Linked DNA regions of Coturnix japonica. The protein of the gene in region 1 purifies or fractionates together with the protein of each later gene. This does not show direct contact. Links are inferred from orthologs where the notes say so. Each region holds a gene or a part of one and is shown on either strand. Other genes may lie near its edges.

What was found.
Region 2: the proteins of BICD2 (region 1) and DYNC1I1 purify together in Homo sapiens (affinity purification with western blotting; 4 studies listed by BioGRID and IntAct, with this or other methods). This does not show direct contact. The link is inferred for Coturnix japonica from reciprocal best matches to the Homo sapiens genes BICD2 and DYNC1I1.

Annotation. Positions count from the first base shown.
Region 1 is NC_029527.1:4,888,258-4,904,250, forward strand, and holds the start of BICD2 (protein bicaudal D homolog 2), read right to left. Parts: upstream 7,081-15,993; coding exon 6,841-7,080; intron 1-6,840. UniProt on the Homo sapiens protein: Acts as an adapter protein linking the dynein motor complex to various cargos and converts dynein from a non-processive to a highly processive motor in the presence of dynactin.
Region 2 is NC_029517.1:21,970,139-21,985,582, reverse strand, and holds part of DYNC1I1 (cytoplasmic dynein 1 intermediate chain 1), read right to left. Parts: intron 11,393-15,444; coding exon 11,246-11,392; intron 7,120-11,245; coding exon 7,006-7,119; intron 4,259-7,005; coding exon 4,125-4,258; intron 2,314-4,124; coding exon 2,169-2,313; intron 1-2,168. UniProt on the Homo sapiens protein: Acts as one of several non-catalytic accessory components of the cytoplasmic dynein 1 complex that are thought to be involved in linking dynein to cargos and to adapter proteins that regulate dynein function.

The DNA.
Region 1 (15,993 bases):
AGAAATAAAACCTGGCTGATGTGGGCAGGTGAGAGGGCAGTTCAAATGTCTGCTTAGATAGTGTCTGTATCAGAAAAATAAGGTTAGCCCTCCATCAAGTCAATACACTTTCTTGCTTAGAAACCGGAGCTAACCAACATGGCCAACTGCTCAGCACTGCATGGCAGGACATGCAGACAGACTCCAAATGAATCTCCTGCAACAACTCATCACTACCCACAGCAAAGCACTCGGCTGTGCTGCTCCACAAGCACTGCACTGTTCCACAAGCACAGTACAACGCAGGCTGCATGCTGGCACCGATTAAAGGGTAACAAAAAAGATTACAGACAAAGGGCTGCAGCACACCACAGGGCCATGCACTGCATCACAGGACATGCTGCTCTTTCTGCACAAGCTGGGTAGGCCCTAATATGGCACGGCTGCTCCCCAGCCCCAAGCACCAAATACGGCACGGGCTGAGGAGAAGCCGGATCCAGCTGGGAGAGGGTCCAAATTCCCGGTTCAGCTCATAGGCTGGCACTCAGCACACAGAGCTGAGCACAGTTTTCTGTAAATGAGCAGGACTCCAGTTCACTGCTCCTCCTGAGCTCCAGAAACGAGCCTGTCTGCTTCAGGGCAGGGGACAGCTCTGAATGCCAGCCATCCCCCAGGCTCATCCTGGAAAGGGTGCAGGGGCAGCATCCACAGGGGTGTCCCAGAGGGTAAGGCAGACAATGGGGGAGAACAGAGTGGAGGAAGAGCACAGGATGGATATGAGTAAGGAAGTGTCTGGAATGAGAGGAAAATATGAAGTCCGAGTTCTCAGCAATTAGACCTAAACCCAGCTACTCTCTGAAATGGAGGCTCCTGCATTCATTTAGATGGCAACATTTATTTATGTCATTTCCCCCCTGCTAAGGTTTTGTGGATCATCTTTCAAACTCATGCTATATTCCACAGTTGCTCAGTTACAGATCTGAACAAACCATTCCCTGCAGTCTGCCAAATGCAGAGAAAGAGAGCAAATGAATGCCTGGAGGATGAATCACCCTCTGGAAGTCATCTTATGGCCCCACACTGCTACAGATTAGTCACAACCTCACATACAGTAGAGAGAAAGAGGAAATGGTGAATCCATTAACTCCCGGCAGCGCACAGCCCTATAACTGCTGTTCCCACCCCTCGCCCCCTCCCAGGGAAAACAGGCAATTTTCCAAATCATTAGAATTTTCTTTCAGATTAGAAGAAATATGTTCTTCAACTCAAAGGGATAAATTAGGTATTAACACCCCTGAAACTAGTGAGTTTGTTCCAGCAGGGTTTGGGATGGGAAGCAGGAGCTGCGATTTGAAATGGGCCGACTGCAGGGATCGCCGCAGCGGTTTCAAGAAAACCGCTATGAAGCAAAATGCTGTGAGTGGGTTGGAGGCTCCCAGCAGCAGGCGGGAGGTCTGACACAGCGGGGATGAACAAACTTCCGCTGGTACAAAAGAGATGACAGCACATACAGCCCCGCTCAAGCAGCAGCGCCCATCAGAACCCCCTTGGGTTCATCCAAGCCCTTAGCGGAGCCACTCAGCAGCCCTGAGCCCATTGCAAATCGGCCCCAAATCTGCAGAGCCTCAGCTCTGATGTGCCTCAGTTCCTGAGTGCAGCTCAGCACATGCCCTCCACCAGCACTGCTAATGCCAAATGTTGCCGCTCTTCCAGGGACAAAATAGCAGATGGGATTGCTGCTGCCAAGCTTTTGTCTCGTGAAACCTTGGATTTCATCGATTGCAGACAGTTCAAAACAAACAAATGTTTGCTGGATGGTCAGGGACAGCCCTCGTTCTTGGCCAAGGCACAGACAAGCATCACAAACATGAGTTTCGCAGTTCATCAAGGCCCAGCTCTCAGCTGAGCCTACAGGAACTACAGCAAAGCCGCTACTTCTGTAACAAGCTTTTTTAAATGTAATTCCATTCAGAGTTCTCAACTATTCACCCAACCATTAGTTGATGCTCTATATAAAGCAGCACGTCCTGTATTTTACAGCAGAAAGCACAAGGAGGAGATGGGAATTTTCATGAGCAAATCACTTCAAGCTTTCAACAGGAGCAAATCAAGCAGCACCAGCAAAGAAAAAGCAGCTGAAAACACAAAGCTGTACAGGTTGCTCATTGATGGTACAGCGGGAAAAACTGGAATGTTCAACTTCCCAGGCTTTGTTTTGGTAATATGTAAGAAAGGGATCTTTTCCAAAACACAGCAGCAAATGCCCACAGTGCTCCAGCAATCAGATTACAATGCCAGGTGGCTGTATTCTTAATGCAAACCAACTGTTATCGATCAAAATAGAAGGAGTTTGGTTTCCATGGGTGTACCTTGCTTACCTCAACAACCACAGGTTTGTCCAACTACACAGCAGAGACAGCAATTCTGGTCTCTCCTTCCATTTCAAGTAAGCAGCTGTTAGAATATGTCCAAGTAATAACAGCCACAAAAGCCACAAGTTCGCTCGTGTGTTACCTGTTTTCCATCAGGATGTTCAAAACTGACAATGAGCTCCCCAACAACTTGTACTTTATTGCACATTTACATGCAGACAGACGGAATTACGGTCAGCCTATCAGGGTCAGTTTGGGAGAACAAAACAAAAAGAAATCACACGTGTATTTTACACGCTACCTCCTTTTGTTTGAACAGATGGCTGGATGTAACGTTAAGGTCCTTCCTTTTCAACATGGATCGATATAACCACTGAATATTTGGCAGGAGGAAGCTGCAGAGATGTGCCCATGGCCATAGAAGTATTGCTGCTGACCATTGTCATCTATCATGGAAAGGCCTAGTCAAGCAGGTGTTGCTCTGTATGCACAGAAGACTGAATCCCAGCCTACCACTGGCTTGTTACTACTCAATCCCAACCATTTCTTTCCTTCCCCTTTGTTCCAATACAGTAAATGAGCATAGCAGTGCAGCAACACAGTAGGTAAAATGCTGTCAATAAACCCGATAATTATCTTGTATGTCTGTCTGTAGGCTATACTGCTTTTTTTTTTTTTTTTTTTCCAGTGGGAAAAATAATTATTTCTCCTTCACTTTTGAATATACACTGTTAAAGTGTTAAAACAGTATGGATCAAGTATCACGTATCCCATTCACTGTTATGTATGTAGGTGAATTAACCAAAGCAGAACAACCACCCTGAGTGATCACAGATACTGCACACTGCAGTCAAGCAATACATTCAAATAAGCTGCACAAATATTGCAGCCTGGGCACGTATCGCCGCCGTTGCAGAATATGCCCCACTTCATCTTAATGAGAAATGAGGCCGCTCAAGATTTCATTTGCATGCTTCTTTTGGAGACAGCTTCTAAGCCTATCCAGGAGCCCTAGAGTTTGTGTCATGGAACAAAGTCAATACACGATCCTTAAAGGCAAAGAACAGTAACAAGAGCTACTGCCACCCTACAGAGAAATGAACAGTCACGTACAGCTCACTGCTTTCTCTCCAGGCATTCCTTTGTCATCTCCAAAGAATATTTTATGTTAACCAATGATTTGGTTAACATGCTTCCTTTGTCTTCTCCTCCCCATAAGAACAGAACAAAACACTGTTTGCAACACCCTTCTGAAGCATTCAATGCTGATGATACCTTTGCATTGGCTTGCTTATCACAGTACACTTGGACATTCTGACAGCTACATAACACTCCTACCAAGCATCTGCTTTTGATATAAGCTACATTTGCTGCTTTCTGAAGAGCACAACTTCAAGTCATCACACACAACAGAAAAAGGTGTTAGGAAACTAAAGAAAGGCAGGCTATATTTTGATGAAGCCCAAGTAGTATGAGAGAAAAAAGTAGGACCCCAGTTGTACTGATGCTCTTTGCCTTTGTAAGCTTTCCACCCATCCCCTTAAAACATACACAACAAAGAAGGCCTTGGCATTAACTGTGATGTACTGATGCATGCTTTTAGAATCTCAGGACAGCCACAGTCTACTTACACACTTTTACGTTATTACAGAAATAAATAATGCATAACATAATCATGCCCCTGCATTCTGAGGGACTTAAATACAAGTCTACCATCACCAATACTGCATAACCATCTAATTTGAAAGTAGCTTTGGACAGCAGCCAGTTTCATATCTAACCAAACAGTGAGCTGTAAATCTAACTGGCATCTCAAAAGCAACTCAAAAGTACTAAGCAAAGCAGACAAGCTCTTTTTCAAGCTAACCTTCCAAGCCACGTTGTCCTACAAATCATCAGGATGCCAATAAGTGAATTCCCGTACAGCAACCTTGGCTCAGGCAGGTTGGCAGCCCTATATTAGCATCCCCACAGACAAAGGCTCACAGGATGATTTCTTAGCTGAACACAGCCTATAGAAACAACTCTTTATCACTTCACCTCCTAGAGGAGACAAATAACAACCGAAAGCATCAACATACAACATGATGTAGTATTTCACTGAGAGTCAGGAGCTAATTCATGTAACTTGAGATAAAAAAACAATGCATTTCTAAACCATAACGTTCAGTAAGGTTTGAAATCAATTTCATTTCACAAAAATAAGCATGGAAGTGAAATAACCAGCAGGTTCACCTGGGGAGACAATTTCTACTTCAGTCTATGTGTCTCAAATGGAAACAACAGAAAAAATGTGGCACAATTACCCTGAGAGGTACAAGATGCAAACCAGCATGTGAACAGATAGGACAAATCTGGGGTAAAGTCTACAGTTCTCCAAGGACTCCAACTGAAGGGTTTGATGAGATGGAGCCTCAGTGCAATGGCAGGACAGCCCCCACTACCACCAGGATGATCCGAATGGCAGATATTGTGTACACACAGGTGGGTTTGCAAAACAGGGTCCAGCTCTAAGGATGGCACGTACACTCATCAAAGGGATAAAACTGTGGGGGTTACAGGTAGGAAATTCTGCCACAATCACAGATAAAGGAGCACAAGGGAGAAGCTGGCCGGAAAGTTGTGCAAGATCTGACAGTTGCAGCAGAAAAGCCTGTACTTTCAACAGCCTCTATTAGGAAGTTCCCACGCTCAGAGCCCATTTACCTATGGAATGAACAGGGCCGCGATATGGGATGCTTCATAACATTAAACAAATTAAAGTATATCCAAATTTACAACACCAAGCAAGACAGGAAATTTTGCTGTGTGTCTGTGCATGACATGGCTTTATGCTATTGATGTCTCTAGATGTAGCGGAGAGGAACAGAACAAGATTTAAGGAGACTGCAATGTCTGTATTCTAAAAAGGCTGCATGAAGTCCAAGTTGAGAAGCAAGAAAAAGAAAGCACCCCTCTTCCTGGCAGCAATTCCCCTGCCTTCCCCAGGAACAATACAATGTAACCTAAGGTGCAACCTCTTCAAACTGCACCTTGCTATATGGCAAGTCCTGTATGCAAAATGCCTCCCAACGTGCTTGGGAAAAGCAAGAAGTTATATAAACAGCAAAGATAAACTCCTCCTGTGACAACATGCTTCATGCATCTGCCGAAGGTTTACAAGTTCTAATGAAGACCAGATTCCTCCCCAGCATCACAGGGAAGCAAGAGGAGCAATGTTCTGCCTTGTGTTGTACAACTATAGAGACCTCAGATTGTTCCCAGAATTGTTTGCCTCCCAGGTTTTGACTTAATTACAACAGGACATGCACACACAAAGCAAAGAATGAATCATTGCTCATCCTGCTATTTTCTTTTTTCTTTTTGGTTTTTGCTTTTTTTTTGTTGTTCCCAAATCTCTTCGAGCCTCTGAGATGTTGTTGTAGCTCTAAAAGAACAAGCAGCAGCTGCCTTCCAGACATTTCCCACCTGAAGGACTAAATTCATGAGGCCCACAGCCAACCAAGGTGTCACCTGTGACTGAGCCACCCTGGCACTGCCCCACATTCAGGCTCCAGCTCAGTGAGGTCACACCAGTCTCCTCACCTTCCCCATGTTGTCTCATCCCACCTACCAATGGGTTTGCTGATTTTCTTCTCCCTTTGGCAAAACCCTATTGCTCCTTCTTCCCAGGACTGTTTCTGACTCCCTTATCTTTTGTGTAGCAACTCTACTTCCAAGGGCTCACGATGCCAACACATTTGTTCCTTCCAGTATTTGCACTGCCAGAATCAAGTCAGTTCCAAGTAGCATTAACCAGAGAACCACAGAACCATTTGAGTTGGAAGGGACCTCTAAGGGTCATCTAATCCAACTCCCTTGCAATGAACAGGGAGGTTCAGCCTGCATTTGGTTAGTAAGAGCACAAACATTTAATTCAAAACAATTCACCTCCTCTGCTTATGCTTATTTTGCTTTTATGATGTTAAACAGAGTCCATCCGACACACAGGATGCAGGAAGTGAGGGCGTTCACAGGTTCAGCTGAATTGATACAAATCCATTTGCGTTTACTTTCCCTTTGACACAGTGTATTTTGATGTTACTTCAAATCCACATCCAACCCACACCAGCAACACCAAAGACCGACAGCACATGGATCACATTGACCAAATACAACCACACACGTCTACATTTTAAGCAGCATCAGATCCTTTGCAAACAAGGCAAGGCCTACATCAGCTCAAAAGCAGCGCATGGTTTGCCTGCATAGAAACAGTCACCAAAATAACCGGAGCAGGAGCAGCCAAGTGAGTCCCACGGGATGCGCTATATGGGCAATGAGCGGCCCCCCATAGGGAGCACTAAGAGGGTGCCTGCAGGTCCGGACAAGGCACAACCACCCCCAGCATGGGCTGTGCTTGAGGCAGCGATGATTTTGTATAAGAAAAACGCGTGTTGTCAGGGCCCCAAGCTCAGGGCTCAGGCCCGTCCCTCCCCGCCGTCCTCACCTCCTTCAGCTGCTCCATCTCGGCACGGATGGTCTCATACTCCAGCTCCAGCTCCTCGTATTGCTGCTTCAGCTGCTGCTTCTCCTCCAGCACAGCCAACCCATATTCCGCCGCTTGAATCTTCTCTCGTGTGGTCTCACCCAGCTCTTGGAAAAGCCTCTTGATCTCATTCCTCAGCCACTCGGGTTCCGACTCCATCACCAGCCGGGCGTACTCCTCCTCCTCCATACCCAGCGACATGTCGGCGGTGCTGGGGGGCACCGCAGCCGGAAAGGCGAATCGAGCGGCCCCCTTACCCCGCTCACTAACAACGCCTCGGCCCGATCCCGGCCACGGTCCCCCCTGTGGCGGCCATCCACGGTGTGAGCGCTGCGGAGCCGCCCCTCGCACGACGCCGCCACCGCCGCCAAACTCGCCTTGTGAGCGCCGACCGCAGTGAAATCATTCAAAGGGAACGGCCGGCCCGGCGTCGCGATGCACGCTGGGAGATGTAGTCCGGATGGTGATGCCACCCCGCTGGGAGAGCAGCTCGCAGGACTACGTTACCCATAATGCACCGCCCGCGGGGTGGGGAGGTGGGGTAGAGAGGAGCGGAGCAGAGCGGCCTCTGCAGGGCTCGGAGCGGCCGCGCCCTGTTGGGCTGCGACTGGAGCGGGGGGCTGAAGGCCTCACATCACCCCTCTACATTCATAATAAACACTGGGTTTTTCTTCTGCCTCGTATATTCTCAGCCCTCATTGTGCTCAGGCTTTACGCTGTAAATCAGGACTCAAATCAAATCAGGACTCAAATCAGGACCCAGCTTTTTGTCCTTCCTCAGAAGCTGTAATTTGCTTGTAACAACTCATTCTTATCCAACCTAAACCTCTCCTGGTGCAACCTGAGGCTATTTCCCCTCATCACCAGTGAAAAGTAAAGCCAAGGTTTGGCAGTAGGTTTCACTCTTTGCTATTGTTCTAAACTGCTCAAGACATCCAGCATTAACTGTAAATATCACTGTTACAAAATTATTTCTGACCAGCCCAGGAAGAAGAGCAGGTTGTCAAAGCGGAGGCTCTTGTGATCATTCAAGGTAATGATGTAGCGTAACAAAAATCTGTAATGACTGAATGAGCACAGCCCGGCCTGTGCCCATGGCCTCCTCTGGGTGCAGCCAGAGGTCACAGCCTATTTCATTATCAGTTATATTCATTATCAGTTCACTGTCTCTAAATTCCATCAGTGCAAAGATGCCGATGAAGGAAGGCTGTGCAGGAGGTAGGGAAGAATGGGAATAACATCTCAGGTTGTTTCCTGAGGTGGGTGATGATCACAGACAATCATACAAGGCTGGTCACAATTCAGCCTGTCCACAAGCTTTGTGTATGGACTAGTAACAAATTACCATTATCTCCTAATTCTTCCCATTTTCTATTTATGAAAAAAAATGACTTTAGCAAAAAAAGAAAATACTCTGGGACATGGATCAATGTTCATATGTGGTGCAGTGATGACCTTTCTTAACCAAAAGACATTTCAAAACAAGAACCTGAAAGTGACTGAAAGCTTCAGATATTCACTGGCAGCTGATAAGCTGAGAAGCAGGTGAACTGCTGGCAGAAAGCTGCCGGAGGGAATGTGTGCATGCAGGGAACAAGCAGAGGAATTACAGATGCTTATCGCAAAATGGAATTCTTAGGATGTCTCAGCATAAGGAGAAAAAAATGCGACTTAGCTTTCAAGATTTGATAGAATTCCTTGGCTGGGTGTGGGGAGCACAGCACACACACACTGCCTGCTGCCTGACCCAAGTGTTGAGATGCCCAGGCCTATCAGTGCTGGACTTTTGCTGGGAGCTGAAGAGGAGGGATGGATGGAGGGTCCAAGTAACGACATGTCTGGCACACCATCTGCCAGGTGTAGCAGGGACCAGATGCTCAGTTTACTTCCTTATTCTGCCATGATGGAACAAGCCTGAGAGGAAGGGAGATTTTTTTCCCCAAAATGTTTCACTTTTTCTTCTTTTACTGCAAGCCTGAACCACCCCTCACAACCACCTACAGCTTCTCATGACCATGAGGCGTAGCTCTTACTTTACCAGGCCTGTAGGTCTGTGCCTACATCAGCCCAAACAGCTACTCTATCTCTTCCCAACTCACCTGTGGGAAAGGACCATGTTTGTGTTTCACCTCACTGCCTGTCTGGAGGAAAACCTTCCCTTTTAAACCACGTCTGTATGCCTGATTGACAAGCAGTAAATGAGCTGCCATTGCTCCGTCTCTCTTGATGAAGTAAACACACCTGTGTCTGGATTTAAGCCAAACCCATTTTCTTTAAGATAAATCATCCAGGCACATGTTTAAACTGAAGCAAAACAAGAATCCACTCAGTCATGTACTGGTATAACTACAACAGAAAAAAACCAACACTGCAGTGCTATTTCTCTTTTCCCCTCCATCTTCATGTTGTAACTTGAGAGGGTCTCAGGTTCTGGTGGTCGCTCATGAAGGAGAAATACTGTATGCAGTATGGACTTGGCTGGCATAGATTTGCTTTTCTATGCATAAGAAATATTTCTACTTCTACCAGCATGAGAAAAGACATTTGTGTATATCTCATAAGCTCTGGAAGGAGACAAGCACAGATGGATCTTGCTTTTGGCTGCAGTCAGAAGCGGCAGAACCTTCATCACATTTAGCTGAATTACACCAAATTTATGTACCATGTGTAAAATCAGTGTGTTGGCCCCAGAGTGGATGCAGTGATAACACCAATGGGTCACAGCAGATTTGGTGCTGCTGAAGAACACCTAGGCCACCCCTGCCTTGTGCCCCAGCTCTGGTATAGGCACCTCTCTCTCCATCATTTTTCCTCAAGTGCTTATCTAGGAAAAAGAGCTAGGAAGCATTTCTGCAATCAAGTCATTTCTTCACTGCTAGAATATCTTCCTGGCAATGCCAGTTTTCCTGACACAGAGCAAGTCTCAGATTACTGCCCCAGAGCCCAGGGATTGCATCAGATCTGCTTCCAATTCAAGACAAGGCTCACGTGAAAGTCACTTTCAACTCTTTCTCTCTACTAAGTGAACACACTTCTGTGCACCTCGGGTCTCAGACCGAACTCGATCTATTGTGAATGACTTAGTGTCATTCAGTGGCACACACACCTTAAAGCAGAGCACTTTCCCCCTGTTATCAAAGCCATACTCTAAGTTACATCTCCTGCTGAGACAAGCTGCACTGCACTGCTAGGTAGATAAGCAAGGTGCAAAATGACTGCAGTTCCTTCTCTACTCATTTTTCTTCTTTTTCCTAAACACAGCATTCCTCCTTACCAAATCTCTAGGTCAGATAAAGGAAAAAAATCTGTGGACTTAATTGCATTAATTAAAAACCTCATCAACTAAATAATTCACAGAAAGTCTGAGCTCATTGCCGCTTTCTTCTAGGACGTTATATAAGCATCAATTACAAGAAGATCAAGTTTAAATAAAAATCAGAAGTTATTTCCTTTTGGACAGAGGAAGCAGCTTCTTGGTGGAGGCAGGCAGAGATCACAGCACGCATGGAAATAGCTGCAGCACAGGCAGCTCCCTGACTGCATCACAAAGAAGACAGGGTGTGATCCAGCACTAAATTAACCAATGCTTTCAGCACAGAGCTAAGAGTTATGGAACAGGCAGGTAGGTGTTTCAGTTATGAAATGCTGCTTCCACTGATGTATTTTAGGAATTCACTGACATCTGCTCTCTCTCTCTATATTTTTTTTTCCCATTAATTTCTAATAGCTGGAATTCCAGAAGAGCTGTTTGAAATATAACTAACATGTTTTATCCAAGCAATATGTGTTATTATGGACAATTTCTGCACCTGCTAATTGAGACAGGGTCCAAATGTTTGGAAATATTATCATGTGGATTGAATATTGTAAATAGTAGGTTCCTATTTGATACGTATGGTTAGAAATAAATAGATTTGTACCTTAGCCTTTGGGGGTTTTTTATGTCTATTTACGGATAATAATATACGGATATATGCGTCTGAATTACAAACTGCCTGCTGGGTATCTGCAGAACAGAGGCCCGTTATGAAGCAAACTCACAGTATTATACAGGTAATGACACTCTATGTAGCACAAATGGAATGAATGCTAATGGTTCTATACTTGAACAGAATAGCAGCTGTTCTTATAGGTGGTAATGAATTCAAATGGTAATCCCAGCCCATCTTTACAGAGAAGTCTGCTAGCGAAGTGTTACTGTAAATGAAAATCCACATCACATCTGATGCCCAGAATGTAACATTCTCCTGATTCCATTTAAGCCTAGTGACACATAAACATCTCATGTGTGTTCCAGATCTGTCAGTAATTATGCTTGAAAAAAGATACACCCTCTTAGTTCAGGGAAAATAGCTGCACTGTGGTCTTGAAGTCATTGTGGCCATTAGCTTTTAAGAGCACATCATTTATTGGTATCTCATCGATGTATTTTGCTCTTGCACCTCCTGCTTCATTCCAGTCTCCCTGAGCTCTCCTTGCATTCCCAGCCTTCCCTGCTCAGCCCAAGTTCAGACTAAAGAAAGCAGGGTCTCGACCAGCAGTATCTGTCTCAGACCCCAGCAATGACTGAGAAAACCGCAGGCCAACTTCTGCTAACAGTCGTTCATTTGTATCACTTCAAAGATCCTTATTCACAGGAGTAAAATTCCTTCCCTAAGTTGTCTGCAGGATCATGCTTCGTGATAGGAGCCAGCGTGGCTGGAGAAGTGTTTTATATTGCTTTACTATTTTTAGTCCAGTAAAGAAGGGGATACTCTCTTCGAGTGCAACATAACCAGATAAAAGCACATTAAGTCAACTTCATCGTGGCATATAACTTACAGCTAATCTGGCCAAAAGGAAATTGTATAACCTGGTGTGCATTCTTCTATTACATAGCAGGGGCAAATGAAGTGTCACTGCTGGACTGACTTTTTATTGTTTTGGTGCTGACTCTGCGCTCTTCAGAGCACATCCTGTATGTTTTTTATATGGTACATATTTGTAAGGGTTATGCTTCCCTAAGAGCATGAAAGAATCCCTCCGGCCATATAGGAAATTTGTTTTTGAGAGTGGCCAGTAAGTAGATTTTGTCTGTGGTGGAAAATGTGAGTCAGACCCATGTAAAAAAGCACAGAAAACAAACTGCTGAAAGGAATGCTCAACATTTGTGTAACAGCCTTCAGATATGGTTCACAAAACTATGCAAGGATAATCTTAATATTTGATGTAGATAACTACTATTTATATAGCTCGATATCTCTGTGGTAGCCACGTAACAACTATAAACTATAACACCTTTCACACAGAAGTATGCATCAATTTCTGTAGCTGGCTCTGTATGCTGGGTGCTTTATGTGTTGAGTTTCCACCCTAATGCTGGATGTCCAGTCAATGGCAGCCAACAATCTAGAGTAAACCCAGCAAATGTAGACACACGTACCTGTAATGTACTGGGTATGTGGAATGCACTTGGAGGTTGGCAGGTAGTCACAACTCACTCAGCTAGAGGAGGTCCACAAATCACGATTTCCTCTTCTCATCTCTACAATACACTTTCTTGTTTCAGAAATGAAAATCAAGTTTTGTTTTGTTAAGGTCTCACATGATAAATCCTCTGTTCTCTGCACTAGTTGGATGATGATTCTCTGGAGAAGAACAGGTGTCTCCTTTCCCTTCTGCACAGCGTAGCATGCCCCGCTTTTGCACCCACCATGTATATGGTCTGGCCTAAAGAACTGAGCAGTAACTCAAGGTGCTTCCCACCAACAGCTCACTTGTTTGGACACTGCATCCTGGTTATCTGAGGGGAAACCTGGCCAAACCCACAGCCCTGCTATGATTTGTGCTGGGTGCCTGAAGCCTGTTCAGAAAGATTTCTAAAGGAGAGGAAGAAATCAGACCTCGTGCAGTACCTTTGAAAACCTCTCCCTAAAGGCATAACTCAAAAAGCCATTAATGGGGCAGAGAGTTTTCATTATTCGAAGCATGTTTATTGCATCTCTTTCCCCTGAGGAAAATAGCACCTGCTGTGAAATGGAAGGCAGTTAATGGATTGCAGCAGCGGGAACTAAATATATTTCCTTCTCTTCCATAAGTACCAAAGAAAGAAGAAAATGATCAGAACAGGCACTGCCCACAGAGGCAAAATGCTGCTCCAATTCCTTCGACAATGCATCAGTTTTACAGCTTCTAACAGAGCTTTGCATGTCGCCAAGTGCAGATGTTGTGCCCTGGGAGAATTATTCCTCTCTAAGTAATGCTGGCCAAAAGAAAACCCCAAACTGCTGCATGCAAAAATTGGTGCAGCGGCTGAGGACTTTGACAGGCAGAGGCTCCTGGGGGCACAGGCTGCCCATCCTGCCTATCCCACAAGGGGCAGGGCAGGCTGGAAGGGTACATCTATAGAGACTGCCCAGCATCCCACTGGAAACAAGGCTGCTCCCAGCACTAGGTCAGGTCTTCCATAACTCAACCCCCCGTACCCTATGCCTCTCTGAGTAGTATCTCCCACAATAACCTCCTTTCTGTTGCTATACCATGATAACAGACCATCTGCACCCCACAGACAGTATGTTTCACGTCTTCCCCTTGCACTGTGTAGAAAGCTGCCAGCCCACCACCCCTGTCTGGCCCCTAAGGTAAGCAAATCCCACAGCTGTGCGCAGCAGTCAAACTCTACCCATCAACAAAGAGGCATTCCAGGCTGGACGCTCACACCTAACTTTGCTTTAACAGCTCTTGCTAGCCAGTTCCTCTGCCTATTAACCTAAGAGAAATGAGCAAACAGAATAAATTTTCCTGAGCATGGCTCTCTCCTACTGGTCCCTCCTCAAAGCCTCAGATATTGTACAGTTCACTCACCCTCCCCTTTGTCTCTGTTTCCATCTGAAGGAGGAAAAGACGTGGTTTCTGCCCTTCTATTACCAAGTTCCTATGTTTGATGATTATTTTTATTTGTTTGTTTTCCTTGATATTCTATCAGGTTTTTTTCTTATCTCTTCCTCAGGTCTGAGGAAACAAAGTTTTGGTAGCTTAGCTGGGATCAGCCAGCATGAATAGCCCTGTCCTTAGTCCTTCAGGCTCTTCCCAGGCCCTTGTGTTACCAGCTTTTTCCCTTGTCTTTTGTTTCTGCACAGTCTCCCTTGAAAAATGGCAAACAGTGTGAATAGTATCAGGTAGGTAAAATGAGGCCCATACAATTTCCATATCTTGCTTTCCACAACCTCTTTCCAGCAGAAGAAAGCCAGGATATCCCTTAACGGAGCTGCACAGCTGTGGTTATTATCCTCACACTGCAACACAAGCAAAGCAAACAGAAGTAATGCTTAAGTGGCAATGCAAGAAGGAAACTGGAGACTGGATTCCTCACCACAGCCACAGGGAAGTAAGGCAAAGCCAGGAGGGTTCCTACTTTTAGAACATTCATAGAATTTTTTTAACAAACCAGTACATACAGGAACTGTAGTTAGAGATTCCGAATTCCTATGCTGGCTTCTGAATTCTGTATGCTGGCTTACAAGATAATGACCAGTTTGCAGGGAGAGATGCTTGCATTTATTGCCTTTGGAAAAGAGCTGAGTCTGTGCTAGCTCTGTGCTGCTAGGTTTGCACATCACCAGAACAGATTTTTCTGTGCCAGCTTGGACAGAACCAAAACTTCCACTTTCCCCTAAGATTGAGAAAAGAAAGAATGAAAGAATGGAAATCTTTTCCATGGCTTTTCCTCCCAGTTCTGCAGCAGGCTCTAGATAAAGTGCCATTTCCCAGTGAGAACTGAGGTGAGAAATAAGAAAGTCAATTAAAAGATTGAGATTTCTGTGGTGCCATGAAGGAATCGTAATGAAACTTTGTACCTTGGCCTCCTCTTCCCCTGGCTTCAAAAGCCTGCGCTCTACTAAATTATTTACAGCTTATGTAAACTAAGAATGAGTGGAACCAGAGTGTTTTGAGAAACAGATGCTGAGGTTGCCCTTTACTCCTTCTCTGCTCCTGGCAGATATATTATGTTCACAGCGAGGTGATCCTGTGGAACTATACTTGTGGGGTTGAATTTCTCTCCTGTTCAGCTTTCTTCTGCCATTCCCTCACACTCTTTGCCTTTCCTTCCTCTTATGTGAGCACCATCCAGTAAACCTTGAGCAGTCCCTGCCCCACCTTGAGATGAAACACTAACATCTGACCACAGCCTCCTTTACTAGAGCTTTGTCATCAAAGCTCTTTGTTCAGTTCCTGCCCTCATTCTTTCTCCTGCATGTTTACATTCCTCATGTTCCCACTTCAAGCGCTTCACCGCATGACCCCTGCTTTGTGACCATACCTAGGCTACATAAATATTTCAGAACACACCTTTTTTTACAGGTTTTCAGTCTCCCTGTCACTGGTTCAGCAGGAGCAGTTGTGCAGGCAGTGTTACACACAACAGCATGCCTTCCTGCTGGACCACCACAGCACCATAAGAGTTTTAAATCAATCCTCAGTGCTTTTTAGAGCACAGGAGAACTAAACCACATGCAGTCAGACTTTTCACATTGTGCCTATGAATGAGGTCATGTTTTCAAGGCTTCTACACTCCTGGATGGTGGCTGTCCCTCCCTGCGACACAACAGCTGCTTCCCACTCTTCACTCTGTCTTCTCTTTTCATTACAGTAGGAAAAGAGTGGGGGAAAAAACCACTGTATTGCACTCAATATGATAGAGATGCTCACAGAGCAACTGCAGTTTCTGTCTCTCCCACATCAGGGTCATCCAAAATATGGGAATTTGCAAAAACAAAAGTCCGAGAGGACAGATCCTGGTGTTGCACACTCAGACATGGGAAGCTGAGGTAGCCCAGAGAGACTCAACACCACCAAGGAAATGCAGGTGAAAAGACGGAGACAAAGCAACATGGAAGTGGGACAACATGAGCTGTGAATTACAGCTGCTTTGGAACAGAGATGCCTCCACACCTACTCTGTTGAAAGCAAGAAAGCCGTGTGTCACAGCAAATGGGTTTAATCATATGCTAAAGTGCCAACTGATTCCTCCAAGTATTTAGCTCCCGTGAGTGCAGGACACTTTATGGCAAAACTGATGTTAATCTCCACCAGCTGTGATGAGGACCAGCCCTTTTTGCCAGTGCACCCCAAGAC
Region 2 (15,444 bases), on another chromosome or scaffold:
TGTACTCACTCCAGCCAAGAGATAATATGGAAAGAAATTTCTGCAGTAGTCTAATTGGAAGAAAAGGAAAACATTACATTTCACAAACTTGTTCAGAGCCTCAGAGTAGTTCTGAACAACACAGAGACTAGCAGTGCAGCAGCCTAGAGCTGCTGTTGCTGCTCAGATCTGCTCCAGGAGAAACCAATGGAGCCAGTACAGCAATACTGTTTCCAGCTCACAGCAGTGCTGTGTTGTGTCACACGCACATCCCTGCCCCCATCGGTTAGGTCAAGTAGCTTTCTCAGGAAGTCCCTCTTGCCAGATGAGGTATTAAAAATTTAAATTGCTTGGTTCTTTGAAAACTGACTGTATTGAACAGCATCTGACCTAACTGTTTTGGCAATGAAGTATTCCACAAGGATTACCATGTACTGCTAACTGCAGTGTCTTTGTGTCCAAAATATGCTGTGTTAGTGCTGCCACTAACTTCCAAAAACCCAGGCATTCAAAATAAAAACCCAAGCCTTCTCATTCCTTAATACAATTTCCTTTATGCTGCAGAAGGATGAGACCCTTAGTGAGATATTCAGCCTCAAGCTGAGTGTCTGATACTTATGCCAAACTTTTCTGGACGTGTATATTTAGAATGCAGGTATTTCAGTACCTTCATTTCATTTTCCACCCAGTACCCACAAATTCTTTTCCTCTTACTTAACTTCAGCTTCAACCATCTGATACTCCCTTGCCACCAGTGCCACTGACCAGCACTCTCTTCTCTGAGACACCAGACTCACCAGCCTGAGCCAGCTCTCTATCACTGAGTTATCCCACAGCACTCTCTAACACTACCTAGGACTGACCCCAAACTCATCCCAACCTGCCCACGACCACCCTCCATTGTCAGTTCTGCATTAGGTTAAGGCTGGATCCACTGCTGTTTATGGAGAGAATCAGGTAAATCATGCACCCCTCCTCCTACCAAGTATGCAATGCTCAGAAACTGCAATACTCAAACAAAACTGTCAGCTGTGGTCATTGCTCATCATGCAAAGATACCTATTAATTAGCGTACACATCAGATCAAGCTATTAACAAATGCATTATGAAGCTACACAGAGGCTAATTCAAGCTATTATCTAGGTAACTGTGCTTCTATTTCCAGAACAAGGCGGCCACATGATTCCTTCTGATCACTTCTGTGTTTACATTTGCTGTGCATCTGTCTCAGCATCTCCAAGCCCTGATGAGTTTGAGGAACACACGCTGAGATATTTCCTGACTGGGGTCAATTTCCAGCACTGGAGCTCTGTCGGATACAGCTCAAGATGTGAACCAAACGCAGACACAAATAAATGATGAAGACAGAAGTCCGGTGCTTGGAATGTAGTTCTCTGCTCTGATGTAGGACAAAAATAACTGTTTAGATGACTTAAATGTTAGATATTTTACTTCTCCTATTCCACTCAGCCCGCACAATGAGGCTGGTCTACTTAAACTGTCATGCAGTTTGCGGTGACTCTGTCATTAGTCTATATTTATACATAGATGGAGTGTGGGTATTCAAAGCTCCGCAGGCCTGTGTGCTCTTTTCCACTGTTCACAGTGTTGTCCCTGTAAGAGGTGACATAGACACATCCACAGAGCAGTCAGCAACAAAAGTCACGAATGTACAAGCATGTATTTCCTCCCTGCTCCCAGCCATTGGTGTCTAATGTCACTGGGATGAGTTATACTTTCTGGCTACCACAGCCTCCTACAGCAATAATTTTCTTGAAGGATATTGACTGCACTGTAGTACATGTACCTCCCTGTTGCTTCATCAGAAGAAAGCGTTCCTGCTGTTGTACTGTCACAGTGCACAGTATTAGCCTCGCAATTCAGCCTGCACAAGGAGCGCTAGATGAATTCTGTGATGACTGCCACTACGATCCATTCTATTCTCCTTTCCTAGTGAAATTGCTCAACACTGGGGTTAATACTGAAGTGCAAGCCAGATGAAACTACCTTTATAGGGTAGGCTCCATGGCAAAGATGGCTGACGTAGTTGCACTGGGTGTTCATTTCACTTTAACACTACGCCTTTTCTAAGAACAGCCTTTCAGTGAATTGATTTCAAGTGAAACATTTCTGACAATGGCATTTTCACAAGTAGCATTACCCATCACATCCCAGCTCGTTTTCCTCACCTTTGTGGTCCACAGCTTCACTGTCCAGTCAAATGATGACGTGACAAAGAGATGGGAAAAGTCAATTGAGCCCACTGCCATGTGGCAATTGATTCCTGTGACAGGTCCTTGGTGGCCTTCAAAAATTTCACCAATGCCAGCTTTGCTGCAGGAGGAAGAGACATCTACATTCAGAATGTGAGTAACGTGGTGTTTTAACATCATTTTCTTTTCCTCTTAGAATCCTGTTTTCTTTTAAAGCTCCATTTAACCTGCAAAGCAGTCTCCCTTCAGCAAGGCCTTTGCCTGCAGCAGCTCACTGCTCTGGGCACTCTTAGTGCTCAGGATCCAGCACTGAGAGACAGCTCTTTTTCCTTCTGAAGACACGCATTACTGACTTCTATATACACTGTCTACTACTATAGCTTGAAATAACATGTATGTATAATTATAAAGTAATTAGAAATTATAATTACACTACATCTTATACATCTGAGTACACTATTATTACGAGGAATAACCATTAAAATAAAAATGCAAAGATGCTAATGACATATCATTTGCAATTCTTCTTTGCTCGAATATTTAAAATAACTCTGCACAGCAGTCAGTCATGTCCCTGGGAAGAAAATCCTTCTTCACAAAATGTGAAGGGACTGCTCACATGATGGGGTATCAAAGTCATTATTGTGAGCATGGGAAGGTGTGCATATCGTCAGAGTGAGGCTAGAATAGGAAGGAAAAGCACAAATCTGGGTAAGAAAGAAAGCGGGCAGCTTTGCTCATCCTGTAAGCAAATGATGCCAAATCTGTTGTCCTTCTCTTGTGAGGAACAAACCAGGCACATCTGAAAGATCAGATGTGAGAAATGCCCTTGGGCGTGCTCCATTTATCCCAGCAGCCAAAAACTAATTCAGACCAGCAGCCACAACCTATCAGGATAATGCCTAAACAGACACAGCACTGCAATACTGTCAGCAGGGTAAAGTAAAAAATACTTTTAAATAAAAATAATTCTGAAGAAAATGTATGTAAAACTGTGACTATACAATATGAAGAATGTGTAATAGAAGTCTTACAATCTTAAACCACTGCTAAACCACTGCCAGTGTGTATTTGGTCCCTGAAACAAGGGCTGTGGTAACATATGAATCTGAAGACCACTGAAGTGGGAGGTCAGCTTTAGATCTATCAGTGAAATAGCCTGCTCTTTACAGAAGCCACTCAAGCATCCCAGAGGATGAAACTGCTACCAGAAGCTGAGAGCACGCAAGCACCCTGCAGATCACTGTAGCAAACACAAGGAATTGATCTCTGCAGAGGCCTGTGGTGAGAGCTCCTTGTTTTTGACTGCAGCCTTAGAAAGTTTACAGGGTGCAAAATCAGGAACTTGTTTAAATTATGGAACTGAATTTGCACTTTCCTAGCTTTAGAAGTGGAGAAATCAGTGTTTAGCCATACAGCACTCAGACCCTTGTTGTGCTTTCTTTTCTTTGCTATCTGCTTGTAGAGACTGAAGATGAAGCTGAAAATGGTAAAGAAAATAAAGCAGATTACCCTTTCTTCCAAGTGGCTTACGTCTGACTACCCCGCAACAAAGGTTTCTCCTAGGGCCTGGTACAACCTGCCCCAACACAGAAATCTACACCTCAGCCAGCACTTGAGGCTTCCCTTAGAATCAGGGCGGAGAAAGAGGCATTTCCAGGATGCCAGTCATCCCTTCTTGAAGTGGAAAAGGCAAGAGAAGTCACACCTTCCAGCAGTTACTGCTCCCTGCTGACTGCACAGGGAGGTTGGCCAAGCACTGCAGTGCATGGCAGTAACACACACGCATGAAGCTGGGCAGTTCCCACCCTAGTCCCGTCCCAGCACAGATCCTGCTCATCCAAGGGACAAAAAGCTAAGCACACTCCACACACGTGGCTACCTCATGCCAATACAGATGATGTTACAGAAGTACATAAAGCTTAAAGTCACCTTCCATGACGACAGGCTGTGTAGACTGTTCCCTCTTCACTGCCAACAACGAAGTTATTGACATCTCCAGTTGGGAAAGCCATTCCTGTAACTGCCACTGGTTTGGACTTGTTGTACACCAGCTCCATGCTCTCCTGTCGAAATAGATCTTTGTTATTACTCTGTAGCTGTCCTTTTGTTTGGCTTGTTTGTGGATGTTGTTTTTGTTTTGCTGATTCATTTCTAAATGTTATACAGAGTACCAAGAAAGGAAGGAGGAATCATCTGATCCAGTCACAGGATTTAGGGTTCTGTTTTGGGCAATGGAAGAAGATGCAATGTCACAATCAGGATGCACGGCTCCTGCCATCCCTGATGCTGTGTCAGACACTTCAGAGTGGCTGCAACATCATCTTTAATCAGGCAGAGATGACAGGTGAGAATTTAAAATCTAATGGCGCAGAAACTAAAGATAACACCTTAATGGCTATACTTGCCAGCCCCAGGCTCTAATAAAAAATACCCTTCTACTTACAAACATTGTCTAAAATCAGTTGTTTGTCAGGAAACACATGTAATATCACATGCACCTGAGGCGTCTATCAGACAGTGACATTTGTCCCTCTGCAGAACAACATTCAGAAGTCAGTGTCATATCATTCTTGCTATCCTAAACATTGTTTTTCAGAGATTTTCTGAACTAATCATAAATATTTTCTCTGGATCCCACCATCGAGCTACAAACCAGCAAGCAGATTTTCATCTTCTAGCCATATTTCAAAGTAAATCAGCATACTCGTTTTTGTACATCTCGAATACAACCAGCGTGAGCAGCCTGTGGCGGCTACATGATGCGTATGCTGCTACACGACGCATATGCTTTAAGCAGATTTTGCACAACTCTAACCTTTTTGGTTGTGCAGCCTAAATGGTGTAACCCAAGAATCCCACAAAAGGCCTGAATGATTTAGTAATTTTCATTTTCAGCTCTTTAAGTGTGTGTGCTTTCTACATTTAAATGCCCAGGCTGCTATTCTTCTCGAGCTAAAGATTACAGCATTTTTATCAGGAGGGATTTTTGCTGTAGCTGAAGAAAGTGAGCGTCCCTATGGGAGGAGAGGGCTGCAAATCCATAGAGAAATACTTCTGCTTGATTTATATTTTTCTTTCACATATATTTGCTTCTATTAACAAGGAAAAATAAGACCTGGAAAATGCATTGGCAGAGCACCTGTGGACCATATATTTCTACAAAAATCTTCAGGGGTGAGATCATTGTTTAGTGTCCTTAGATATGGCCAGATACTGTGGCAGAATCTCCTTCAAAGCCTACACCATGGCTGTATATGAGTGCTCTGGATCTGTGTCTTTGGAAAGTTTCAAGCTAATGCAAATCAGCAATACTGCTCTGCTCAGTTTAAAGCTATGGCGTGTAGCTTGACATCAAGCCCCGTGTCCTTTTCAAGATAACTGTGAGCCATACACTGAATTTCAGTGTGACATGGGATGCATTCCCATCCTTGTTGAAAGTCAGTTTTGAATCTGGGAAATTCCATCTGAATGATGAAATTCTGGAACTGAAATGTTCACAAATATCTGCTGGAAAATTCAGTATTCCACTAAGTAAACACACAAGGATTTATCTTCCCTACATTTAAGTGAAAAATAGGGCAAAGGATTCAGGTTCCTAAACACAGATGTCTGGGCCATTTTAGATGCCTCTTCTTCATTTCCAGAACTGCAGCAGTTTTTCATAGTCCCCAGACACAACTACCAGACCCATAATGTATATGAGGAGCATGAAGAACACAATCAAACTTTGAAGTTGGCCTCACTATCAGTAAGAGGTTAGATGGGATGAGTTCCAGAAGTAGCTTACATCCTAAGATGTAAGTCCAGTGCCGTACCCTAGAATATCTAAAGTGGTATCTCATGCTGGGATGGATTGAGTTGTCCTCTAGAAGTGCTGGTCTCTCTCTAAATTAACTGTAAAAGGAACTCAAATGATCAGCTTGGACTTGACAGGGACCTTTAGATGGCTAAGGAGGGGAGGAGTCCCACATCTTGTGTCAACACTGAAAAGCAAATAACTCAAGAGTAATTGCACATTAATGCATTATTAATGGATAATTAAAGGAATCATTAAAAGCAGTTCCTATTCAGCATTTTCATGATCAGATCCTATGATGTTTAATAAAACAGTGATATGCTGGAACAGGAAATATACAAATGTACTACTCTGAAAGATAACACTTTCCATAGGGCCTCCTCAGCACCAGATTCTTTGTTTAGTTTCCATTATTATAATCACAAGTGGTTTGGACAATTTTCTTGGACTTCCTTTCAGTCCTGATACAAAGGGGGGTAGGAGGGGGAAGGGAAAACAATAGCAACAAACATTCCAGAGCGGGAAAAGGGGGGGGGGGGAGTTAGCTCTAAAACATTTGATTTGCATTGTGTTTTTTTTCCTTTTAAATACTGGAAGCAGGCAACAAAGTGAGCTTTCAGACTTTGTGCCTTGGAAACCCATAGTGCCTAGGGTGTGTTCAGTGGCAGTGCAATCTAGTCCATATTTGTTAAACAACACTGTAGAGTAAGTACAATTTATACCACAGGCAACTTCTGTAATTACCATGCTTTAAAATGGATTATTTCATTTTCACTTGAAACTGACCTATGTATTAACGTATTATAATAATTATATGATTTGTGGTAAAGGAAATGGGTTTTGGCTCTTAGCAGAGACTGCTGGAAGCAAGCTGTATTCTTTCAAGTGCATCCACTGGTTTTAGTTTGTATAAGATGTGAGGTTTTGGCTTTTAGGAGCTATGTTCCATTAAGCAGGTATCCATCCTCCTTTGCTGAAGGTGATTTTCTCTTGTATAGGTAAAAACAAACCCACCTGTGGAGTTGAGAGCATGTCCAGGCTCCAGGAGCACATTTTGCCATCCGTGGAGACAGTGATGAGATTGTGTGCATTCTGTGTTCCAACTACATTGACACAATACACCGGATGCTGCAAACACATTAACACTGGAAGTCAGAGAGACATTCTCACATCCTCAAAACACATTTCTAACATCTCGTATCTTATTGTAAAGAATGATTAAGTAGTCACATAATGTCTGGAAAATACAGGACCAGGCTTTTGCCATGTAGGACTTCAACTTCTTTTTTTAATTTCAATTCTAAGAGGCGTGTTATGGACATGGAAGTGTTTTTAATGTTTCATTTTCCTCATCATAAAACAACTCAGCTGGGTAATGCTGTGAAAATGCTGAATTATGTGGATGGGATTTCACCCACAGGGACATGTATCATTCTACTGATGGCTTTCAGCACTGAAAATAACTGGCAGAAAGAGGCAAACCATCCAAATGGAATCAAAATGAAAACTTTATTGAAGAAAACAGCTGTGTAAAACTTGAACTCTCCCAGAATTTGGCTTGCATGCTAAATATTTGCAAATGTACTTCAACAGAAAAATGAAAACTAGTCTGTCATTGTTCTCTGGTATTGGACAATATACCTTTTTAGATCTGTCACTAGAATTGTGGAGTGACTAAATTCAGGGTGTTACACCTGATTCCTCATAGCGTGGTCAGTCAAAGGCTGAATTCCACTTAGCATGCAGTAATCAAATTCAGTCTGCTCATTTTCCAAGAAACCTGCTAACATTTTCAGCCTGAAGTGTCATCTGATATGTGATGGTGACATATGAGGGTGGTTCAAGTTCAGCAGTCTCCACAGTGAATGATCAATCAGACCGAGCAATGAGATTTAATTTTCTTTGACCACTACAAGTAATAATGCTTAATTAGAATAAGACATACACACAAGTCAACCAAAGACAAACTGTAATTCCCTGCCTGTTGTACAGATGAGACTTGTGTCTCTAAGAAGAAAACATGCTTTTCCCAAATAATTTCCTTATTCACTGAAAATCAGGACAAAGCTTAGAAGAGATGTCTTACAGTTTCTAATCCAATTCCACATAGGGTTAGAAACCTGCCGTTTTCTCCTACTGAAATGAATGACAGAAACGGCAGTTATTTAGATTCCCTGACGATCCAGCTGCAGTTCAGCTATGTAGTGAGCAGTGAAAGGCAGAGCTGGCACTGTCTAGCTCTCAGGTTTGACACCACAGCAGGCCCAATAAATGCCCCTGGCTCTAATTGCAAGCAGGGTGGAATTTGAACACACAGTGTTTGCACACTGCACCAAAGATGGACTTATTAGCAATTGCTCCCAAAATGGTGCTTTTGCTTAGAGGCCACCTGTACTAAGGGCACTAAATTGCAAGGTCTCCTCTAGTGTTGATTTCTCTCTATCTCAAGACTGTCATATGAACTGTTTCCCCCCGCCATCATCAAATGGAAATCAGATAATGTGCGGGACCCCAGTCTATCCCTAACATGTTTCTCATGCTATTACCCTCCTACAATGAACCTTCATGCTCCTCAGTGGTGAACTAATTACCACATTGCTAAATATGATTAGCACATAATGATGTGCAAAATAAACACAGTCCTATTTTTTAATGGGTGTTTGACCTCCAGAAGGCCAAAGGGATGAGGACAGAGGTGACAGGGAGCTAATGCAGCCAGTGGAGTGGCTACAATATTTAGGGGGAAGGGAGAGAGGCAGCCACGTCCTTCCAGCAGCACCTCTGTGTGCCAGGTCTGGCTTTAATCAGGGTTGCCAACCATCAATTTCATGCACGATAAAATTCACAGCAAAAATGAAAAGGAAAAAGGAAAATGGATGGAAAAGACAACCAACTGTATGCAACAGAAAGTCTTAACAGGCTCCTTCCTCTCAAAGAGTTGCTGCCAGCTTGTTTTTATTTATTTTGGAAATGAAATCATCATGCAAAAGGGTTTTGTCTTAATTAAAATTTCCTGTTGTCCCAAGTGCAGATGTGCGGTGGGTGTGAAAGGAAATTAGTGAATAAGCTGTGGGTAGAACTGTCTTTCCTGGTGAATCCAAGCAGCAATCAGTGAGACTAAACTTAAGGAAGGTTTAAGTTGGTGATGACAACATACTTTCTTTGTTTCAAATAAACAGAGTGAGGGAACAAAAAGAGAAAAATCCTTTTTTTTTCCCCACATATGGCATAAGTTCAAATTAAAACTGGCAATTCAACTCACTTAACTAGCAGTGCACAAATATTGCCACACTAGAGTTAACTTAAACCTTTCAAGCCAGCCTTTTGCAGCCAAGACTTCATTTACGGTTTAGGTAAGTGATTCATAAATATGAACAAAAATAAGTAGTCTTTTATTGTAAAATCTGATCACTCCTTAAAAACACAATGCTTCCTCATGCTGGACTGTACAAACACTTATTTATACCAATCTGCAACAGCACATAAAGTGCACATCCACAACAGAAAGTCATTTATTTTTATTTGTCAAAACTTCATATATTGTTCTATATAATAATACTATTTTAATATATAATTCCAGGAGGTACAATTTTGTCTTAGACATTTTTGAATGTAAACAAATTACTTCCCATTAATCTTTTCTTTTCCACTAGATTTTGAGTCCCAGTTGTTCAATTTGCAGCGATAGTTTCTTGCCATTAGTTTTCTGGTCTACTACATCTCTAAATTGCACTTCCAGGAGAGACTGTTCCCTTTCATGCAGATTGAACACCGCTACTGGTGATAAAATGAGCAAAAAAAACATTAGGGAAATGGAAAGCAATGTTGAAGTTGCAACCCATGGCACAGATCATTAAATTATTACATCAACATTCATGATAGTGGAAATTTATGGAACAATATTTGTACTGCCTGGCCTGCTAAGCATGTCTGTGCACACCTGTCATTTCTTAATATGAGAGACATGCCTTCATAACACTGGACCTGCACTGAATCTTTAATTCATATGACGTGGCTTTTAAACATTGCCTCTTAACTCCAGGGATTATGTTGTCTCAGCTGAACCTTGATCTGCAAATTACAAATATAAGAATCACAGAACTGCAGATGCTGGATGTACAAATGGCCAATCACATTGTCTGATCCCTCTTTCTGATAGAACAAGATTACTAACTTTCAGACTGCTTTGTGTAGTTCACTCTCTTATGTTTGAGGAAATCCTGCAGATTTTTCTGTACTTTTATTTTATTACATCTTTCTCCTCTTTTAAGCATCTGTTTTCCACTTCCCACACAGAAATGGCCCCAAGCTCAGCCCCAAGACAACTTACCCTTACAACCCACAGAGTAAACCTTCCAGCTTGTATGAAGAGGCTCTCTGAGCCTAAACTCTCCAGGAGGAGAGCTCAAGGATGCTCAGCATCTCAGAGCAGAGTGGGGCTAAGGTCAGCCCTACTACAGATTGTAGGCAATATAGGCTTATCTCTTCCTCTAGCACAATATGGGTACTTTGCAGTGTACGAACATCTTCTACCACAGACATTATCTTTGGAGTATGGAGAAACTCAAATATTTTGTACTGCTCTGCCTGTTTATCTCCTAGACATCACCAGAGCCCTTTGTGCAATCATCATTATATCTGCAGGTACCTTTGTGTGTCATCAAAATGCATTTCCATAGCATTCTGTTGAAACAAACTCCTCCTCACTCTACAAGCTGTGCTCTATGGTCTTGTCTGGAGTAGGAGGCCAGAAAAGGGATTTAAAAATTTCTCTGCTGTAAAACAGAAGCAGTTGCCCCACACTTTTAAAAGCACAAGTGTCTACTTAGCAGAATTCTGCTAGATCACTGCAGGTGCTTAATCTGTTTCAAGAGACAAACTCTTGCACAAGTAGTCAACAATCGATGATTCAAATTGCCTGCATGTTTGACTGACAGACACGTAGTCCCTACAGTAACCTGACTCTCTCTAAAGGCAACAGAGAGCAAGAATCACATAGGTGACTCATTTGAGTGTTTTAGCTGCTCCTGTCGTCTTCATCATAAAGGAGGACAACCTCCTGACCTGCCCATATGAAGTGTAACGGCTTAACACAGGAGGTGGTTGTACACCTCTGTCACTTGCTTCTTTCTTTTCAAGGGCCGTGCTTATGTTTTATCCATTTAACAACCAGCACTGCAGACAGGACTAGGCAGCTTCACTTATCTGCTGACTATTTCCTCTAAGGAAAGGAAGAGGCGACTTTTGTCCTTACCGTGTGAGCAGCAGCAGACAAGGGAGTTCTCTGAACAGGAGTTCGTCTGTGGCTGCGATTATCCCACAAGACAATTTGGCCAGAATATGTTCCACCAACAACCAGGTTTGGGTGAAAGCGGGCAAAACAGACAGACATCACAGAGGACTGGAGTAAAACAGGTAGAGAAGAGGAGAGAGGGGTTATTTTCATCAGTCATGTTCAGTTCTCCTTCTGCTGCAGTTATCATTTTGAATTTTAGATGGGTGTGACCATTATTCACATTCCTTAAATATCAGTAGTATTCTGCTAAAGCCAATAGGAGCCAATTCTGATCCTAAAATGAGTAATTCCTTTGGTCCTAAGGAAAATATGAACCATAAGATAAGTCTTAGAACAATGCTAAGTACCTCTCCATGACAGTGATGTGAAAGTGATAAATTTCCTTTTCAATAATGAGGACTTCAAGCAACCAATTATCAATCCAACTAGCTCACTATCCCCAGCAGGGATACTGCTTCCCATATTGCTCTTCTAACACATAACTCTCCAATAATTTCAGATGAGTTTGTGAGAGGCCATCCAAAGTGCGCCTCTAGGTGTGCTGCCTTGAGAACACTGCCTGATGAGCAGCGTCTTGTTGAATCAATGACTGAGTTCTCTGCTACAGAAAGATCTTTTGCTAGTAACAGAGGGACTCACACTTTCCTTTACACAGTTTCAGCAGAAGCAGTTCTTCATCTCTGTAATGACAGCTGGGTTGTGTTTGTACATTTTCTTTAAACCGGGAATGCTGAGGAGCCAGACTGGTATAACACTTGCCTTGGCCATCTGGGAGACTACTCCACAGGACAGCATGGAGAGTGTCTGCCCCAGTTGCCTCCTTCAAGTCTCTTTAAAATACCATACAACATCTGAAGTCCTCAAGGGAACAATCTCCAGAACCTTTAACTGCCAATGAGCTACAGCCAAGAGCAACAATCTGTTACTCCTTCAAGGTCCCCCATTCTCTTTTCAAGGAATTCTTTCCCATTTTTATTCAATTGATCCTGGATGTCTTCTCTGTTTCATGCAAATTGGAAAGTAAAAGTTACAGTATTTGCATAATTTCCTGAGAGTTCACATATTAAAAAAGGCAGTTTGCAAACAGAAGCAAATGTCGTTTTTCCATAGCTGTTTCAGTGATGCTTACAAGCCACAGAGTGAGATTTTAACTTCTATTGCAATTGCAGAAAGTTAACTTCTCTGTTAATGGGCACATTTTTAAAATCTCATTTTCCAATCATTTCCAACCAGCTTTGGTAACAAATCTTTATTGTATTTTAATGACTGGACCTTTTGAAATGGTGATACGCCTATACGTGAATCCATTTAATAGAGTGACAAAGGGTTAACTATATTAATATATTTCAGCTGCATAAAAAAATACTGCAGGCATTTAAGTAAACTTTGTTGAACTGAGAATACAGGAGCTGGCAAACTGAACTAGACCCAGTGTCTGCTTAGCTGAGGATTCTGTCTCTGGCAGAGGTGGCTGGAGTTATAAAAACTTTGACGTGGGCAGATGTGTGGTCATCTTGCCTTACTATGCCTTGTCATGATTTCTAGCAGCTAGAGACTGGTTTCAGCTCATACACCAGAGATTTAATAACTTTTCCAATAGGATTGGAATTAATTATGCCAACTCTTGATGTTTCTAACTAGGTTAATAAGAATACAGGAAAATGTGCTGTTTAAATAGCTTTTACTGAATTCATGTGGCTGACTGATATCCGTTGTTTCAAGCCAGATTTTTTTTTTCTTTCTAAAATAACCTAGTAGAAATACATCATACAGCAATGTATTCAACCCTGTATTTTTGACTCAATGAGGCCAAAAATAATAGAACTGCCAGGATGATGAAATAAGTTGCTACTACCTTTTTCTTTCCTATTCTCTCTGAATTTTCAGGGGTATTCATTTGGTATCTCCAATCCCTTTCTCTAGTAAAGCTTTTCATACATTTGTCCGATGTTATGTAGACTAATGTCTAGTGACCAGATGATTCATATATATAATTGTTTATTTCAGCCCTTATCTATCTAAGCACTTAAGAACAGTAATCATACTATGGTCATAAGAATGCTAGTTCCCAAGCATCATTTCCAAAGGACGTATTTTATAGATAAGAAAAAAACACCTTTGAGTAACAGTATTTTGGAACTGCTTAAAAGTGATCTAAAACTCAACTACAACGCTGCTGCCATCCAGTTTCCACAGATCCCCCATACATTATAATTAAAATGACCCTACAGCACATGTTCTACATTTTATCTCTTTGCTTAATGGCTTCATGAGTTGTTTTAATCAACCCTGCTCATTCCTTATAACTAAGCTGACAGATATTCTTACATGAAGTCAAATACCCATATGATTCTAAAATAGTACAGCTACACCGCTCTGTACATCCCACAGCAGCTACAAGGCTTCGTATGTATTTTAAGAAACCCCAATTCAAACAGTCATTCCACAACAAAGTTCTCAGTTTGTCTGAAACAAACTTGGGAGACTCTGAAGCCAGGCAAAGAAGCCAAGTGGACAGTATTTTTAAATGCCATGTTTTCATGGTTAGAATGTTTTTGAGTTCAGAATCCCAGAATACAGCTGAATGGTCAGGATGTAAACTGCTAAAGTGTGTTTTTCATAAAGCTCAAAAATAACCTACAGACATGACATGGACTTGAGCCCTCTGCGCTGCTCCTGGTTTTACGTGTCATTCCAAAGTAACTCGCATTCATCAACTGATGAAATATTCACACTCTTTTAATTCTGTCAGTATTACTTTTCTACCGAGGAAGAACTTCTGTAAAATATTAGAATTTAACAATTTCAGGAATCCACTCCATAGCACTTAATAAAGTGATTATTTTCTTAAAGAAGTTAATGTCAGCACTCAGAAAAGTAAGGGCAGTAAGATCCAGCCCATTCATTTAAGAACTTTAAAAGCATTAATTTCTTAGTCTTAATGGGGAGAAAGCAGCAGACAGGTCTCCAGTCTGTCTGAACAGCTCTGTGCACAAGGAGAGCAACAGAAACCATTCCCCGTAAGCCTCTTCTGCCTCCGGGCTGCATCTTGGTTGCAGATTCAAGTAGTCTTGCTCCCTCAAAACAGACTTTTGCAGCTGACTTCAAAGAAGCAGGAACCAGCACGTGGTTGGGTTTTAAAACAACTGTGTATCCTTCTTTGTGCTTCTCCCACATCTTTCTAGGGAAATCTTGCAGCACGTTCCAGTAATGATAGTAGTTTCCCCAGTTTTTCCATTGTGTATATTTTACCTGCCCTATGCTCTGTGCACAGAGGACAGAAGCAGCTAGTTTCACAGTATATGCTCACAGTACATAGATAAATTTCACATCAGAAGTAAATTTCCTGGGGAGTTTTGTAACCACAGAGTAAAAGCAGCATGTAGAATAGGGGATGAACAGTGTCATCTTTTCCTAGGCACCACAGAACACCTGTGTCTGCAAGTCGTCAGCACCTTCAGGAGGCAAACAACCCCCAGTGCTTGGTCACCTGCATTTTTCCAGATTCTCTGTGCTGTGAATCACACTGAGGTTCGAAACTGTGATTTCAGAAACAAAGCAAAACATGGCTTTGCTCTTGTCTCGGCAAAGAGAAAAATAAATGTTGTCCAGCCCTTCAAGACTCCTACAGTTCTGGTGACCTGTGCTCGTGGCAGTCTTGCCCTGTGTGGAAAGAAGTGCTGTAGAGGGGACGGAGTGGTGGCTTTGTTCAGCCGCCATCATCCCCTCCCTCCATGCCAATGCACTCAATTCAAACAGGCCCCAAGCCCTCTTCAAGTGGTTGGCAGAGCTGGTTTTTATTTTAGAAGCTTAATCCAGCCCAGATTTGGATTAATGATGGCATATCCCTTCAACCACAGATACACATGCTTAGGACAGACACTCATTTAGATTTTCCTTACTGAGAAGCCTGACCTCAGTACCCACATCTGATGTGTGCAAGGCCCCAGAGACTCAGCTGTCTGTGCTCATGTCCATAGATTCAGATGGCACTCTGCCCAGCCACCAGTTGAACAAGTTCACAAAGACCTGGGTGCTAAACAATAATGACTTTAAATAGCCAACAACTACTGCATTCAGCAAGATCTCTTCTGCAGGAAACCACCCCCGTAGGCAGCGCTGCCATACTGGTGCCATATGCCTGCACTTGACACCAG